Oryctolagus cuniculus: one gene and its partners. The protein of the gene in region 1 interacts with the protein of each later gene in a pairwise test. Links are inferred from orthologs where the notes say so. Each region holds a gene or a part of one and is shown in the gene's direction. Other genes may lie near its edges.

Region 1 (4,394 bases):
CTTGAAATGAGAGGAGATGGGGAGCCGCGGGGCTGGGGAGGTGCAGGAGTGGAGGGGTGGTGGCTAGAAGAGGGTAGCTAGGAAGAGGGGCTTGAGAAAGGAAATGAGGTGGTGGTGGAGGAAGGCAAGGCTGACTGGGACCTGGTGATAGCAGGGGAATGAGAAGGCACATGGGCAGGCAAGGGGCAGCAATCAGAGCATGGCAGGCCCCAAGTCTGTACTGAGGTCAGTGGGAAGGGGAACAAGCCCTGTTTGCGGGGGGTGAGGAGGGAGTCTGAGGTTGGAGGTGGCCCACCCCCGGAGTTCACTTAAGCCCGAAATGGGGTGGAAGCCAGTAACGTTGGGAGATCAGCCCAGAATTTCAGGAGGTGGGGGTGGGAGGCAAGGAGGGGGGTGGCATCTGGCCCATACCTTCTCCAAAGCGCTGTTCACCCAGGCGGCTGGGATTGGCAAATTCGTACTCAGTGGTGGCCGGGTGGGCATGGGGCACTGTACGGCCCGACATAGCTGCAGACGTGGCGACAGCCCTGATCTGAGGTGCAGCCCCAAGAGGCCAGTGCGACCCCTCCAGCTGCCTGGAGAGCCAGGGCTTGGTCGGAGGTGGGGGCGGGGTCTACACCACCCAAAATAGTGCAGAGCCTCTGGGGGCAGGGCTGCAGAGCCAGGCCCTGAGTGCAAAGACGAGGGTGTGATCCACGCCACCGGACCCCCAGTCCCCTCCCCCATACACCCTTCAGCTGTCGCAGAGGACCAGAGAAGACAGCTGGGGGTCCTGGTTCAGAGGGAGCTGGGGAGGGGTGCTGGTGCTGGAGGCTCAGGAGAGGCCAGGCCGAGCCCCTCCCTAAACAGTCAGAACATTTCCACACTCCCTTTTACTCCTCAGTTGCAGGACTGTGCCCCCTGCTTCATAAAGAACTTTGGATTTCATGTCCTGCAAGCCACATACAATCAAAGAGGCAAGAAACTTTTCTGCCTTTTTTAGGGAGATTGGGGTGCATCTGCCCAGATTAATGTCAGGGTCCTCTCCTAAGCCCTCGTCAACCCAGGGTGCCACGCAGATGCCTGGTAGTGACATGCTGGTGGTCACTCTCCTCCAAGGACCTACAAAGAGTTAATGTCCCTGGGGCCCAGCCTAGGAAGATTCCAGTTCCTGCCCAGGCCCAAGATAGTTGCTGGCCAGATGCCCCTGGCATGCAAGACTGGAGAGGAGGAGGAGGGGCACACCACGCGCCTGCTTGGGATTCCTGACTGTGTCCCAGCTTCAGAGAACAGGGGAAGGGGGTGGGTGCCTTTGGGTGTGGACGGAAAGCCAGTGAAACAAGACCATGGCAAGTCACTGGCCAGCTCAGACGTGTTTGTGTTTCTCTTTTCTTAGCTCAGTGAGTACTGGGTATGTGTCACACTGCCAAATCCCCGATCACAAGTCTCCATGAACCAGCGGTGAGCTAGGATAATAAAACCCCTGACATCACCATTCCAGAAGCTTCAGAAGACTGCATATATAAGGGGCTGGCTGTAGCTGCGGCTGAAGGAGCTGACCCGCCAGCTGACCCCCGACACTCACCTAGCCACCATGGACATCGCTATCCACCACCCCTGGATCCGCCGCCCCTTCTTTCCTTTTCACTCGCCCAGCCGCCTCTTTGACCAGTTCTTCGGAGAGCACCTGTTGGAGTCTGATCTCTTCCCAACTTCTACTTCCCTGAGCCCCTTCTATCTTCGGCCACCCTCATTCCTGCGGGCACCCAGCTGGATTGACACTGGACTCTCAGAGGTGAGTCTCCTCTGCTTGAAACCTCCTTGAAACTCCCCTATTCATTTTCCTTTCCTTCCTTGCCTAAAAACCACTTTAGGCTCATGTGTGTCCATAAGTGAAGAAAAATGAGGTTACTGCCTCCCTCCTCTGGGCACCTGTTTCTGTTTGATACTTCTCTGTATCTTACTACATTTTCCCCTGAGCTGTGCATCCCTGATGCTCTCTCCTCTAACTTCTAAGCAAGATACCCGTTCCTGGTTTGGTTCAGAAAGATTTGAAGAGAAGGGAACTGCCTTCTAACGCTTTGCTCACCTCTTCTAATAATAGTTTGTACTCCTGAGAGACTTTATCATCTCAAGTTTCAGAGTCCTACCTCATCCTGAGCTTTTCATCCTCACTAGGGGGAACTGGCAACAACAACCACTATTTTTTCCTTTCCATTCCCTCTTTTTATTTATTTATTTTTGTTTTATTAAACGAATACAACTTCATGCAGTTAATATACGCAGATTTGAGATCTGTTCCCTCTTGTATGATTTTCCAAGTTCCTTGGGGTTCTGACAGAGCACTGGCCTGGGTCCAAGCCTTATGAGGGAAGAATAGGACCAGTCTTAGGACCCTCTCGCTTGTCCTAAGAGGGTGGGAGAATGCGGTGACTAGATAAGGTTGACAGGCACTGTCAAAGATAACACTGCGGTTTAAAAATATTCGAGTGTGGGTAAACAGGAGCTGAGTGGGCAAGGGCTTTGGAAGGGCAAGCAGAACATTCCAGATTGTATGGGTGGGACACTTGGCAGAGAACTGAGCAAGAAGAAGGGGCCTTTGTCTCATAGACAAATGACAAAGCAAGGCATTGGGGTCAAAGAGGCAGCAGAAGCCATGCCCAGACCCATCTTGTGATTGGTTCCCTGGGTGATCTTTCCTTATAAATAAAGTTTGGAATTGATGACTGATAGGCATGCCTTGGGTACCACTGTGGTATATTTAGCAGAAAAGAGGAGGATAAAATAGCTGTATAGAAAGCAAGTCTACAAAATGACGATACTGTACCAGTGTAATCAACATGCCTGTCACCTTTTCTCCCACCTCCCCCTTCCCTCATCTTGCTATTTCTAGATGCGCCTGGAGAAGGACAGGTTCTCTGTCAACCTGGATGTGAAGCACTTCTCCCCAGAGGAGCTCAAGGTCAAAGTGTTGGGTGATGTGATTGAGGTGCACGGCAAACATGAAGAGCGCCAGGTATGTAGCCTGCTTTTCCTTCTGCTCATTCATTCAGTGCATGTTGTCTACTGAATGATGCCAGACACTGCCATCAGCTTTTGAGGCTGGCGACATTCCTGTCCCAAAAAAATGAGCCTCTGAATCAGGGATAGCAAATCAATGGCTAGAAACTAAATTAGGGACTGAGCTGTTATTATTATTGCTGTTGTTGGCCAAAGCAGGGACCATGATTGTTTGTTTTGATTTGATTGGCTTAGATGGGATAAATTGGATGTTTGCTCCCCATTTAAGCCAGTGATTCTCAACCTTGGCCACATTAGAATCACTAGGAGAATGTTCACAAATCCAAATTCTCAGCTATGCCCTGAACGATTAAATAAAAATTTTTAGAGATAGGATGTAGGCAATACCATTTTTTTTTTTTCACTTCTAAAGACGATTGTAATCTACAGTCAAGCTGAAGGGCACTCATCTAAGTAGTTTTGTCAGACAACAAGTTGCTTTATGTAATTACATTAGCTACATATACCCTGAAGGCACTTGAATCCATAACTTTTCTTTTAGATGGTCCACTTCTCTTCAGGCTATCTTAATGCTACACTACTTGGTTTTCTGATGTTTCAAAGTTGTACTTGGTTCCCAATCTCTCGTAGTCCATGTGGAAATCAGTTAAATTGAGAGCCTTTTTGGAAAAATGCTGGAGATTGGGCAGGCATACAGGTCAGGGTCAGTTACTTTTACGAAATTCTGATGAATGGAACATATTCTCATGTCTTTGAACAGGTTTAATATCATTTCTCAACAATTAGTGATAATCCAAGGCTTCTGCATCAACTAATACAATTTAGCTTAATACAATCAGGTTGTTTCAGTTTTGCTCATATGACTTAAGTTTGGGTCACAGTCTCCCTGAATGGATGAAGTCACTTTTTTTTTCCCCTTAGGAGCAATCTTATTAGTCTGGAACATTCTGGGAATTGTTGAAGGGTCAGGACAATTTCTGGGCTCCTTCAGGGACTCAGTTGCCAGGACAAGATTCCAAATCCTATAGGCTCAGCCAAACTTTTGAAAAATATCCTTACACATCTATGCTTCAGGGTTAAAGTTCTGGTCTGTTTCAGACTCCTCACACTCTTATGGGTAGAAGTTACCACCTGGGCAACTTCATCTTTGCCCAAAACCTGAAATGAACTGCCCTTTATTTTTTCTCATGTTGTCAGTGGCCTTTAGACACACGTAAGGGTAATGGGGATGTCGGAGTTATAAGCAAGTGGGATTATTTCTTGTTCTTATATCTCTGCCTCTTTCCTCTTTTCTTGGATTAGGATGAACATGGTTTCATCTCCAGGGAGTTCCACAGGAAATACCGGATCCCAGCTGATGTGGACCCTCTCACCATTACTTCATCCCTGTCATC
Region 2 (4,331 bases), on another chromosome or scaffold:
GGGGAGCGGAAGGCGGCTTCTGGTAGCACTGATGGATTTCTGGTTTAGTGCGCGGGATCCATGGGGTTGGGGGTGCTCCTGCATCTCTCCGGCAGAGGGGGCAGCTAGGGGCTTGTCAGGAAGCAGCGCGTTTCTGGGTGCAGTTTTTACTCCGGTTGACTACAGGAAGGGCTGACAACAGCAAAGCTATCAATTGTTTTTTCTTTGGGTTGGTTTTGACAGGGGGCACTGATGGAATCACGAGGGTCCCCTCCCCTGCCTCTGAGGACCCTGCCCCTGCTGATCTCTTCCCATTCATTCCTGCATCTTTCCTCCCTGAGACGTCTGTGTTCCCACTTTTGAGCACGTACACAGGGGTTCAATATATTCCCTGTCTTGCCTTGCAAAACCGCCTGTCTTCAAGGCAGATTTTAATATTGCCTAGTGTTTGAAAACCGCCTCTGGCGTCACGGCCGCGGAGGCCCCCCAGTGGCCCAGCTGGGCTCTCATCGTCCTGCTCTGCAGGCTGCGCCGCTGGCCAGCCTGGGAGGCGCGGGACCTGTTCCTCCCGACCCCCTTTGTGGCGGCTGTCACGCAGCGAGGGACTCTTCCGCGCCGATTAGGGCGCCGAGGCTCGTGGGGTGCGCTGGTGCGAGTGCGCGTCCCACAGCGGAAAGACCCCAAGCCGACAACACATCCTTTCTCCCACGAATCGGACGCTTTTCGGCTCACGGCAACCGCACAGCCCCTCGCACAGCCAGCCCGGGGGAGAAGGGACGCGTCCCGGGCGCCGCGGAGAAGCCTGGTCCAGGTGTGGATGCAGAAGAGGGGGCCCCGAGGGCTGGGCCAGGTCGGCGAGCGCGGACCGAGGCTGAAGGAACTGCGCCCTCCGCCGGCGCGGAGCGGCCCCGGCGATCCCGCCCGCTCAGCCCGGTCGCCTCGGAGGACCCTGGGGGTGCAGGGACGCGCTGCGGGCGCCGCGCTGACATTGAACTCCAGCCCGGGGCGTGCGTGTGTGCGCGCGTGCGAGTCGCGGGGAGGGGCCGGGCCGGGAGCTGCAGCAAACCACGGCCCTGGGGAGCAGAGCCGAGCGCGTCCCCGAGCCGCCGCCCGCCCGAGCTGCGAGCGCCCAAGCCATTCATGATTTTGGTGACGTTATTCCAGGAGTGGGTGAGGGGGCGGGGCCTCTCGGGGCCAGGCTCCTCCCCCCTCCCCTATAAATGCGGCCTCCCGGGCTCTTTGTGGGGCCGGGATCGCGGTGGTGAGCGGGGAGCTCAGCGCGCTCCGCCGACGCCGCTGGCAGTGGGGCTGTTTCGGGACGGCGGAACCGCTTACGCCCGGCACCTCTCTCGGCCGCCTGCCGCGCCCGTCTGCACTCGTGTCCTTCTCTCCCGGGACGCGGTGACCATTTTTCAATCACGAGGGCGCGGGTCAGCCTCCCCTAGGACTTCATGTCTGTATATTTCCCCATTCACTGGTGAGTACCCGGTGCCCGCGGCGGGCGCCCGTCTCGCTGCCGTGGCTCCGGGGCGAGTGCAGCCGGGGGAGTGCGCGCCCCGCGCAAACCCGCAGCCGGAGCCCGTGCAGGAGTCAACGTCAAGGTTGCGAGGGTGGGGGTGGGGGGAGGTGGCGCTGAGAGCATCCAGACAAAGGAAGTGAACTCGGAGCGCTCAGCGGAGTGACTGCTGGAGGGCGTGTGTGGTGCTAGCTGTGGCGGCGTCGAGCCAGGGGTTGCCTCTGAGCCCCCCTCCCAGCCCACGAGACCCCCTCTCTGCAGAGAGCTGCGGGAGGCGCGCGCCCCCCTGGCGCAGGGGCTCCCGCTCTGCCGGGCCCCTCCCCTTTTTTCTTTTTGTTTGCATGCAAGTCTCGGCGTCGAGGCTGCAGCCAGGCTGAGCTGGTGCAGCCGCCGCTTTTGCAAAGCTCGGGCAGGGGGAGAGACGCCTTCCCCACCCGCAACCCCACTGAAGCCACAAACAGCAGCTCCCACGCAGCACACTTTCGACCCCTGCTCGCTCGGTAGCCCCCCAAACCCGTCCAGCCTTCAGTGCCGGTCCTTGCTGGCGATGAGCCGCCCTTCCCGAGCTGGGCCGAGGGGCGGCGGCGGAGGTTTGCCCCCAGCGGGGGACCCGGGTGGGGAAGGGTGCGGAGAGAGGCCTTGGCTGCCGGGACTCGCGCGCTGGCCGCTTCTTCCTTCCTGCGCTGGGGTTGGGGAGCAGACCCAGGGGCAAGCGCCCCGGAGCGCGCCCGAAGGTGCGGCTGTGGAGAGCCAGGCCCTGGGGTCGGGGTTCGGCACCCTGAGAGAGGAAACGGGCTCAAGTCTCGGGGCGCCGTCCTGCCGAGCCTGGGAACCAGGAAGTTCACTCTTCTTGCCCCAACTTTTCGGGGCCTGCGCCAAACCCTCGAGCGGGGATCAGCCCCCCTACATCAGAAGAGCCCTCCCCTGCTTGAGCATTCCTCTAGGAGGGAGGGGCGCGGCCCGGGAAGAGACTGTGCCGTGGGGGTCCTGGCTCCGGATCCAATCCTCTGCCACATCCTCCCTTGGTCTCTCGCTTCCGCCCCAGCCTGCCTGTGTTCAGAGAGAGGACTGAACTCTCCAAGCAAAGTAAAAATCCCCCCACCCCGAGACTCATCCAGGCCCCCCCCTTCCAGGAGCCCAGGTACACTGCACCCTGTGGTGAGGGAGCGGCCAGGTGTCCTGTGGCTGGGGTTCGCAGGCTGTTGGCCGCTTTTCCCCAGTGGTGGCAGAGCCCATCGGGGATAGTGCCCCTTGTGAAATTGAGGTTTAGGGTCAGCTAGCTGATGAGCAGTAACCTTTCAACCTTTCCCCTTACTTGCGAGACACCCAAGATCAACATACAAGTAACACGCGAACACGGGACACCTGTGACTCTGAGAGATTACAGGACCTGTTCTGTATCACTCAGCTCTTGAGGGCAGCACCCATTGCTTCTGCTCCCAAATCCAATGCAGTTTCTCCACTGTGTATGAACCTTGCAAGGAGTCTGGCGTCCCCGTTCCCTTAGGTAGACTCCCTCTAAAGCCTGCCCAGTGGAAATACTGGGTGTTGTGTAGCCAGGACCCGGGTCTGGGCTGTATATGTGGCATAATGCACATAGGGTCCTGTGTGTGCCCAGGGCTGGTGCTAGGATAATGGGACGTTTGTATCCGGCTTACAGAGTACAAAGCACTTTCACATGTCAGCCATTGGTGGGCCAGCGTGGCCCCTCTGGAAATTTCCTTTGCAATCAGAGTCCGGGTATCCTTAAGGCTTTTAATCCAGGGGATGTTTTTCAAGCTGTGAGCTTGCAGCTGCCGTGGCTCGGGCTGGAGAAGGGGGTTGGATGACAGATGTGGAGCTTGCAGAAAGCTGACCCCTTGGGGCTTCCAGTGGGACATTTTGCCAAAAGGAGCACCAGAGAGATGGAGAGAAATGTAGGCAGGGGGATTCGTGCTGGGCTTTGTTTTCCCCGAGGCTGACCTGTTACCATTATTGTGTAATTATGATTTGCAATTTCCCTTTGGAAAATTCATGAGGGTTATTTTTATGCTTAGTTGGAGGGGAGAGGGAGACCCGGCTGGATTGATTTTCATATAGACAGAGAGATCAGCTGCCTACTGTTTTGGTTTTTTCCTGGTGCTGTCACTTAAAGGAAACCCAGGGTCATTCTGTGCCAGGGGTCTCCCGTGCAGGAGAGGAGGGTGATGGCGGTTTGCCAGGGGCAGCGGGCTTTGTCCACTGGGGCTTGGAGCCCTGTTGCTGTGGGTTTGCAAGGCACTTCCTCAGAGCGCGCGAGCTTGTTTTTCTGCGAATCCCTCTCATCCTGTCTCCAGACGCTCCCCTGATCTCCTGGCAGCGTACGTACCCGAGAGGAGGAACGTGAAAGTGCCTGTGTTTGCTGACTTTGGGTCTGGGTTTCTTGGCAGCCCTGACTATCTGAGATCGGCCGAGATGACCGAGGTGATGATGAACACCCCATCCATGGAGGAGATTGGCCTCAGCCCCCGGAAGGACGGCCTTTCCTACCAGGTAGGTATGGAAGTCCTGCTGACTCTTCGCAGGGTCTCACGGCTCTTGCTGCGGATGGAGGCAGACTTGCTTTTGCTTCCGAGCGCCACTTGTAAAGAGCTGTGTGATCTCAGCAAAGTCCCCGGATGCCAGTAGGCCTCAGTTTTTTCATCTGTAAAATGGGGCAACAGTAGTCCTCACCACATGGGATCATGGGAGAGCCACAGCTTGGTGAGAGGCGGTGCTGAGGCGGTCATGGCTGTTGATTAGCCATCTGGCTCTGTGCACTCCTCCATTCACAGCAGCCAAGGAGGACGCACTTTGTGCGTTTCAGAGCTGCCTTCCC
Region 3 (3,646 bases), on another chromosome or scaffold:
TTGGATAATTTGGGGAAGAATCTAAAAACTGAGGTTCATTCTAGATAGATGCTGTCCCAAAGCAAGATTAAGTTTATGATTGGTTATCTCATTAAATCTTACCCAAAGAGAGAGAAACTAGAATGAAGATTAAGCTATAATTGATAAAGAAATAGCCGAAAATCATTTTGGATGAGGGGGTAATATTTGGTACTGTGTGTGTGTTTTGCTGGCATTGTTTTTGCCTGTGCTTAGATAGACTAATAAAGTGGCCTTGCTTTATTTCATTCCATCAAGGGAGATTGTTTACATCCACTAGAAGAATAATACATCCCAGCTATGAGTGCCAGGCCTGCTTCCGAATGTCAGAGGTTATTCCTTTCTGTCTTTCTCACTCATCAAACCTTCTCCCACGAGATGGGTCCTGCTCTGAGAGGTAGTGGGACCTGCCATCTTCATACAGCCACCCCATGGGCCTCCCCAGCCCAGGCAGTCTGTGTCAGAATGCAGCTTCATGGTCTCCCCATCCTTGGAAAAGGGGCAACAACCAACAGAGCAACACACTTCGCAGTCTTGGGCCCATGGTCGCAGGAAGCCTTCCCTCGTTCCTAGCACAAGTTGACTCCCAGGGGCTGACATCCTGATACATGATGTGCACCTGTCAATGCGGGGTAGAGAGATTAACTACTGTGTTTTAGTGAATTGAATCAACGAAGTCAAAACCAGCTTAGATCAGAATCTAGACTTATGTCCTGCATTGAACTGACAAACTGTGTAAAGAAAAACATTTAAGACAGCTAGTTCTGTCTTCCAGAGAAAGTGGGGTGTGTAGCAGTCTGTCTCCCCAACAGCCTCTTGGAACCAGGGGACCCTTCAGGAAGGCAGAGCTTTCCCCCGGAAAATTCGTGGGTTTTAATTAAATCGTACTCCTATGCATGCAGACACGAATTTCGGGTCAAAAGTTCAGACTGGTGTGCTGATAAATTTAAAAAACACGAAGAATCCAAATAAAAGAGCAGCAGATAGAGGCCAGCGTGAGAATATACCAGAGAATGAGGGCAAAATCTGCAATCATTTCCAGTGAATGCAGCATGTAAAAGGGATCCATAAAATGCCCTTACTCACCCCCGCGGGCCCCTTTTGTGTTGTTCCTGCCAACGCAGCAGCGCTCCTGCTATATAGACCCGCCGCGCTGCCGGCCCCACACACTGAACTCCAGCATCGGTGTCAACCAGCCATGGGGAAGGTGAGCGGAGCACACGTTTAATAAAAAGAAAACAGAGCTTTATACAAGGCTTACTGGGAGCAAATGATTTAATTCGGAATCATTCTTCCTTTGCAGATCATTTTCTACGAGGACCGGGGCTTCCAGGGCCGCTGCTACGAGTGCAGCAGCGACTGCCCCAACCTGCAGCCCTACTTCAGCCGCTGCAACTCGGTGCGCGTGGACAGCGGCTGCTGGATGCTCTATGAGCGCCCCAACTACCAGGGCCACCAGTACTTCCTGCGCCGGGGCGAGTACCCCGACTACCAGCAGTGGATGGGCCTCAGCGACTCGATCCGCTCCTGCCGCCTCATCCCCCAAGTGAGTTTTGCTTGATTTGGCTCATGCTGCCTGCGTGTTCTCACTGAGTTACTGATGTGGGTTGGGGAGGTTTTACTTTATAAACAACGAGGGGCTATGTGGGTTTTCTGCACTTGCTTACACATAGAATACAGGCAAGAATCCACTTGGAGGAAGAGTCAGTTTTATGTTTAATTCTTGCTATCATTAAGACAATCAAAGTTGTCGATCAAATAGATTAGCATAATGAAATTTAAAACAGAACTTGCCAACGGGAAGCTGATTAGGCTGGAGATGGCAGTAATTTATAACAAATTCCATTCGTTTTCATTTATTTTAAAGAAATTTCTAATGACTGCATTAGGTTCTACTGTGGACTAATACACACTGAAGACTTGTTCGTATAGGATACTCAATAGCTCTTTAATTTGGGAAATCCCTTGAATCCTGGTTCCCAGGGACTATTTAAACCAACTTTTCCCTGAAGTACAGAAGTTCAAAATCCTACTTTAATGATAAATTTATATGTATATAAATAATTCTGGGAGAGACATTCTTATTAAAATATAAATTAAAATAAATTATTTAAGCTTTCCAAAAAATATATTTGAGTCACCCAGAGGGAAATAGGAATCAAAGAACTTGAGTTTCTGATGAATTCCAAGTTTGAACCTCACAAAAATATCACCTGCTAGATAAGAAACAGCGATTGATGTGCAAGAATTTGTCAGATGTTAGCAGAAGGCAGATCCACGCACAGCTATTTCAGAGTCATGATTCTTACATTGAAAATCCATGCCCAGTCTATCAAGGTCATCTTTGTTTGATTGGATGAATTCCATAAGAGGCTCATTTGCTTTTCTGGTTCCTTCTTTTTGTGCCCCGAGCAGACAAGCTCTCACAGGATGCGACTGTATGAGAAAGATGACCACAAAGGCCTCATGATGGAGCTGAGCGAGGACTGCTCCTGCATCCAGGACCGCTTCCACCTCAGTGAGGTCCGCTCCCTCCACGTGCTGGAGGGCTGCTGGGTCCTCTACGAGCTGCCCAACTACCGGGGGCGGCAGTACCTGCTGAGGCCTCAGGAGTACCGGCGGTACCAAGACTGGGGAGCCATGGATGCGAAAGCAGGCTCTTTGCGCAGAGTGGTAGATTTATACTAAAATAGGTTAACACTACCATTTTCTCATTTTGGAACCTAATAAAGTATTTAGTCTGTATTGTTGGCAATTACTGACTTCGAGTTTTTCTTGCATTGTGTGCAAATTAATTCACATATAAATACTCGCTGCTAAAGTTTGTGAAGGGCATAAGGGAGTGGGTGGAGTGGATTCAAGAGCCTGAAGGCCTGGTGAGTATGAGCAAGGCTCAGACATCAGGGAGGAGAGAGGATGCAGCCCGAATGAGAAAGAAAAGACAAGGCAAACTAGAGACAGGCAGATGGCGATGGGGGAACCCAGGCACTCCGCAGAAGGCTCTGAGGAACAGTGTTCCAAAAGTTTCCTTCCGGCCTGGAAAGTGGTTGGAAACTACAAAAGACAAAGTCAAGTGAGTTGTGAGGCCAAGTCCAGCTTGGCAAGAAGCCTGAGTAGACTGTGAGGAATTGGAGTTTTGTTGACTTTCAAGTGCAGTGTTAACATAACGAATACCAAGCTGCCATGCCTTTGCACCAGGGTAAACCTTTAGTTATTTCGGAGCCTGGCCCAAATGCTGCGTGAAGTATAGAAACTGCAGAACTGTACATGGGGTCCAGATAATGCAAATAAATTCATAAGGGAGACACATCAGTAGTTTAAGTGGTTTACATGATCTAATATATCACAAACATAAAAAGCCCTTTAACTACAAAAAAATAAGGCTCAAATTTATCTTGATGAAGAATGGGGTGGGAGAGGGAGTGGAAGATGGGATGGTTGTGGGTGGGAGGGAGGTTATGGGGAGAAAAGCCGTTATAATCCAAAATTTGTACTTTGGAAATTTATATTTATTAAATAAAAGTTGAAAAAAAAATAAAGCCATTATCAGCCTCAAAAAAAAAAAAGAGAAAGCAAAAAAAAAAAAAGGCACATTGAAGAAAGCTGTAATTTCTGGAGCTCCTTGATT
Region 4 (3,902 bases), on another chromosome or scaffold:
CTTTGCTGGCTTGGCAGAGTGAGCATCCAGGGATGCTTGGGAGGGGAATGACCTGCCCCTCCCCCCGACCTCTCTTGCAGCTGGGTGGGCTACGAGCAAGCCAACTGCAAGGGCGAGCAGTTTGTATTTGAGAAGGGCGAGTACCCTCGCTGGGACTCGTGGACCAGCAGCCGGAGGACGGACTCCCTCAGCTCCTTGAGGCCCATCAAAGTGGTGAGACCCCGCCCTTTGTCCCACTTTGTCTCTGCTATCTTTGGTCCAGCGGTCCGAGGACAGGAAAGGAGCCGTCGCCTCTAGCATTGAAGCGGCCTTGCAACAGTCATTTTGCTTGCAGCCAGCCTCCGTCTCCACTTCTGAGACATGGGCACATTCGTAGCTATTGAGATGGCAGCAGGCTTGGTTTGAGGGCTGTCACATTGCACAGCTCCAGGGGGCTCCACTCACAGGACTACAATAGCTCCTGGTTGGGAGAGGGGCACTGTTCACAAACTATTCCATGCAGATGGGATCCCTAGGATGGTACAATGCCTGTCACAGAGAAATCACTCAAAAAGCTACTATAGCTGTCATACATAGTACAAGACATGCTGGGGGTGGGGGAGGAGCAGGGAGACTCAGGCCAGGGGGAGCTCTCGGGCATGCCTGATCCTGATTCTCACTGGGGTGTTAATTCTCAGCTGTAATCCCCAAATCACCCAAGCCCAGGCCAGCCCCTCTCAGAGCTTGGGATGGAGGAAGGGAGACCACTGGACACAGCTTTCCACAGATCTGGGTTTTATATTGGCTTTGCCATGCCCAGCTGTGTGATCTTGAGCAAGTCATTTTACCTCTCTGAGCCTTGTCTTGTTATCTGCCAAACGGTGCAAGAGTCATTGAAAGGCTTAAAAAATGAAGAACAATGCGCTATAGGAAGTAGAGGAAGGGCAGAATTGTAGAGATGACGGGAAAAAATGACCTCACGTGTCTGCTGGAGGCGCCATAAGCCTGAGCAGGAATGTATGGGGCGTGTGTGTGAGTGCATCATGGCCGGTGCTTACCACAGAGGAGGTTGTGCCTATGAGGGGGAGGAGGACAATGCAGCATCTGCCATTCCCCCGTAGGAGCTCAGCAACCAGCCCCTGTCCAGAGGCAGTTGTCGTAGGGGCCCCCACGCAGGCGTATTGGGCAGAGGGTCCCAGGTGGGGCATGCTGAGGCCAGCTCTGGGCCATGAGGATCAGGTGGGAAGGCAGAGCCCGGAGCCCCTGCACCTGCACTCATTGCCCCCCACCCCCACCACAGGACAGCCAGGAGCACAAGATCATCCTCTATGAGAACCCCAACTTCACGGGCAAGAAGATGGAGATCATAGATGACGACGTGCCCAGCTTCCACGCCCACGGCTACCAGGAGAAGGTGTCGTCCGTGCGGGTGCAGAGCGGCACGTGAGTGCGTCCCCAGCCCTGGCTCACCCTGCTCCGGGAACCCAAACCCTGGGGTCCTCCATCCTACTTTCCCCCAAATTTGTGGGCCATCTCGCACCCATCACCGGCCACTCCTGACCTCAGTCTTCCCACTGGAAAATGGGCAGAAATCAGGAATCACCAGATGTGGCTTCCAGCCCCTGAAAAGCAGGACGGTGTTTGTGCCTGGGGGTTGAGGGCGGTTCAGGGAGAGGCAGAGGTAAGTTGAGGCAGGAGGCGGAGCAGTGAATTGAGCGATGTTGAGCTCCAAGGGGCAGGAAGCCCAGGCCATGCTGGCCTTGTACACAGCTCGGCTCCTGAGCTGGGGAGTAGGAGGTCCCAATTCCCACGGGACTGCATTTCTTAGACACACATGGCTGCCAGTGCCCGGGGATTTGTCCGTGGGAGCCTGTCCGTGGGTTCTGTTGGGGCTGCAGCTGAGCTCTGGGCAGTGGGGGCTGGAGCCGGCTCATGCCGTCAGCTTTCCTCTCCACTGGTCCCACACCTGTGGACGCAACCAACCATGCACTGGAAATAGTTTTTTTTGTGTGTGTCCATATTTGAGATACGAGAACTTGCTGTTTCCCATAGAATGCAATGCAGTCCTCCTGCACAGGGCGCCTACCTCGTACTGGGTGTTCTGAGTCACCTGGAGGTGGTTTCGAGTAGGAAGGAGGTGGTGCAGGTTCTGTGCAAATAAATGCTGGCCATATTCGTACGGCACTTGGGCATCTGTGGACTGGGGTGTCCTTAGGGAATTCCAGAAGTGATCCCTAGCTTATAAGAGCAGATTCTGACGTTTTCAGAATTTTAGTTCTGATGAATCAATGGTTGCATGAGGCCAGCCCCAGGAGAAGTCTTTCCACCACAGCCATTGGCAGATGGTACTAATCAGGACTCGCCTCCCACCCAACCCTGCCCCCACACCCCCTCCAATCTCCTCCCTGGCAACCCCCAAGAGCCACATTTGTCACAGCTGCTGGCTTCTTGGCATTTGTCAAGCACCAACAATAGTGCCCCAAATTCTGTGTTGATTGCCCCCGTTATTCACTCACTCACTGGCTTGATTTGCCAGCTACTGCCAAGTGCCAGCCATTAGCTTAGGCGAAGGGAGATGACAGCGATCAGGTGGCTGCCTGGGCAGCTGACCCGCTAGAGGGAGCAACAGTTAGCAGTGGGAGAGTCCCCAGCGATCCCCAGCGAGCTAAGCTGCTTCTCAAGGAAGATACACTTGAGCTGAGCTCTCGGAGGAGGAGGAATCGCAGCGGGTAGAGGCTGAGACAGGGCCTCTCAGGAAGCAAGGACAAGGGGAGTGTGAGAGAGTCCACAAAGGCCACGTGGCGGGAGTGCAGGCCGGAGGGGCACAAGCCAGAGACGCCGAGCTGGAGGTGTCCCCAGAGATGGCCTGGGGCGTGGTGGACTGCGCGGTTCAGCACCTGTCTGCCTCTAAGCTTCTGTGAGCACCTCGGCTCCTGGTCTGACCCTACTCTCAGGTCTGCAGACACCGTTCACTGCAGGAGGGAGTGAGCCCATCAAGAGAAGGAGAGCAGAGGCTCGCTGCTGGAGGGGCTAAGAGGGCTGTGCTGCTCAGCATCAGGGGGAAATCACCCTTCCTACTGCCTGAAGGGGTCTCTCTCTCTCTCTCCCTCCCCACCTCCCCCTGGCCCTGCAGGTGGGTCGGCTACCAGTACCCTGGCTACCGTGGGCTGCAGTACCTCCTGGAGAAGGGAGACTACAAGGACAGCAGTGACTTTGGGGCTCCCCACCCCCAGGTGCAGTCCGTGCGCCGCATCCGCGACATGCAGTGGCACCAGCGGGGCGCCTTCCATCCCACCAACTAGGGCTCCCCGCCACGCCTCCGCCATCCCTCCCTCCCAGGAGCCAGGATCCTGCAGAGCTCCCAGCGAGTGAATAAAGTGTGACCTGCAACTTGTGTGTTGCCTGTCTCTTATCCCCTGTGGGAGGTGCGGCGTGGGCATGAGTGTGTGAGTGCAAAGAGGCACAGACACACACACACACACACACACACACACACACACAGATGTAGCTGTGTTTGGGCTACGCAGGGAAACAGGGCTCTCCCTGAGACAGCTCTGCAGCGACGTGGCTGTGTGACCTCAGATGCATCATCCAACCTCTCTGAGCCTCCACTTCTTCACCTGACTCCTGAACCTCTTGTCCCCTGCATGGCTGTCTTGGTTCACCCCTGGGTTCTCTCTCTGTGGTGCTGGGCAGAGTGACCCCAAGGGGCATGCATCCACTGCCTGCTGATCTCCCTGTACTGAGAATCACTGCCTCAAGGCTCTGCCAGAGATGCCAAGAATCCTGCGGGATTCCTCCCCACCCCAAGGAGAGGTCACAGTAACTTGTCTCTGTGTGTGTGTGTGTGTGTGTGTGTGTGTGTGTTCCAGTGTTCCAGGTGGGGTGAGGACTTTAGGGTCCAAAAATCAAAGGGTTGATCA

The links.
Region 2: the proteins of CRYAB (region 1) and LBH interact in a two-hybrid assay, tested with the Homo sapiens proteins (2 studies listed by BioGRID, with this or other methods). The link is inferred for Oryctolagus cuniculus from reciprocal best matches to the Homo sapiens genes CRYAB and LBH.
Region 3: the proteins of CRYAB (region 1) and gamma-crystallin C interact in binary tests that used the Homo sapiens proteins (3 or more experiments, as listed by UniProt). The link is inferred for Oryctolagus cuniculus from reciprocal best matches to the Homo sapiens genes CRYAB and CRYGC.
Region 4: the proteins of CRYAB (region 1) and CRYBB2 interact in a two-hybrid assay, tested with the Homo sapiens proteins (2 studies listed by BioGRID and IntAct). The link is inferred for Oryctolagus cuniculus from reciprocal best matches to the Homo sapiens genes CRYAB and CRYBB2.

The regions. Positions count from the first base shown.
Region 1 is NC_091432.1:103,864,812-103,869,205, reverse strand, and holds the start of CRYAB (alpha-crystallin B chain), read left to right. Parts: upstream 1-1,553; 5' UTR 1,554-1,573; coding exon 1,574-1,774; intron 1,775-2,872; coding exon 2,873-2,995; intron 2,996-4,302; coding exon 4,303-4,394. Other genes in the region: HSPB2 (heat shock protein beta-2), read right to left, coding at 412-505. UniProt on the Homo sapiens protein: May contribute to the transparency and refractive index of the lens. Has chaperone-like activity, preventing aggregation of various proteins under a wide range of stress conditions.
Region 2 is NC_091433.1:172,760,241-172,764,571, reverse strand, and holds the start of LBH (protein LBH), read left to right. Parts: upstream 1-1,220; 5' UTR 1,221-1,430; coding exon 1,431-1,456; intron 1,457-3,903; coding exon 3,904-4,006; intron 4,007-4,331. UniProt on the Homo sapiens protein: Transcriptional activator which may act in mitogen-activated protein kinase signaling pathway.
Region 3 is NC_091434.1:31,660,262-31,663,907, forward strand, and holds gamma-crystallin C, read left to right. Parts: upstream 1-1,216; coding exon 1,217-1,225; intron 1,226-1,321; coding exon 1,322-1,564; intron 1,565-2,430; coding exon 2,431-2,706; 3' UTR 2,707-2,773; downstream 2,774-3,646. UniProt on the Homo sapiens protein: Crystallins are the dominant structural components of the vertebrate eye lens.
Region 4 is NC_091452.1:19,372,497-19,376,398, forward strand, and holds the end of CRYBB2 (beta-crystallin B2), read left to right. Parts: intron 1-80; coding exon 81-213; intron 214-1,279; coding exon 1,280-1,422; intron 1,423-3,112; coding exon 3,113-3,281; 3' UTR 3,282-3,369; downstream 3,370-3,902. UniProt on the Homo sapiens protein: Crystallins are the dominant structural components of the vertebrate eye lens.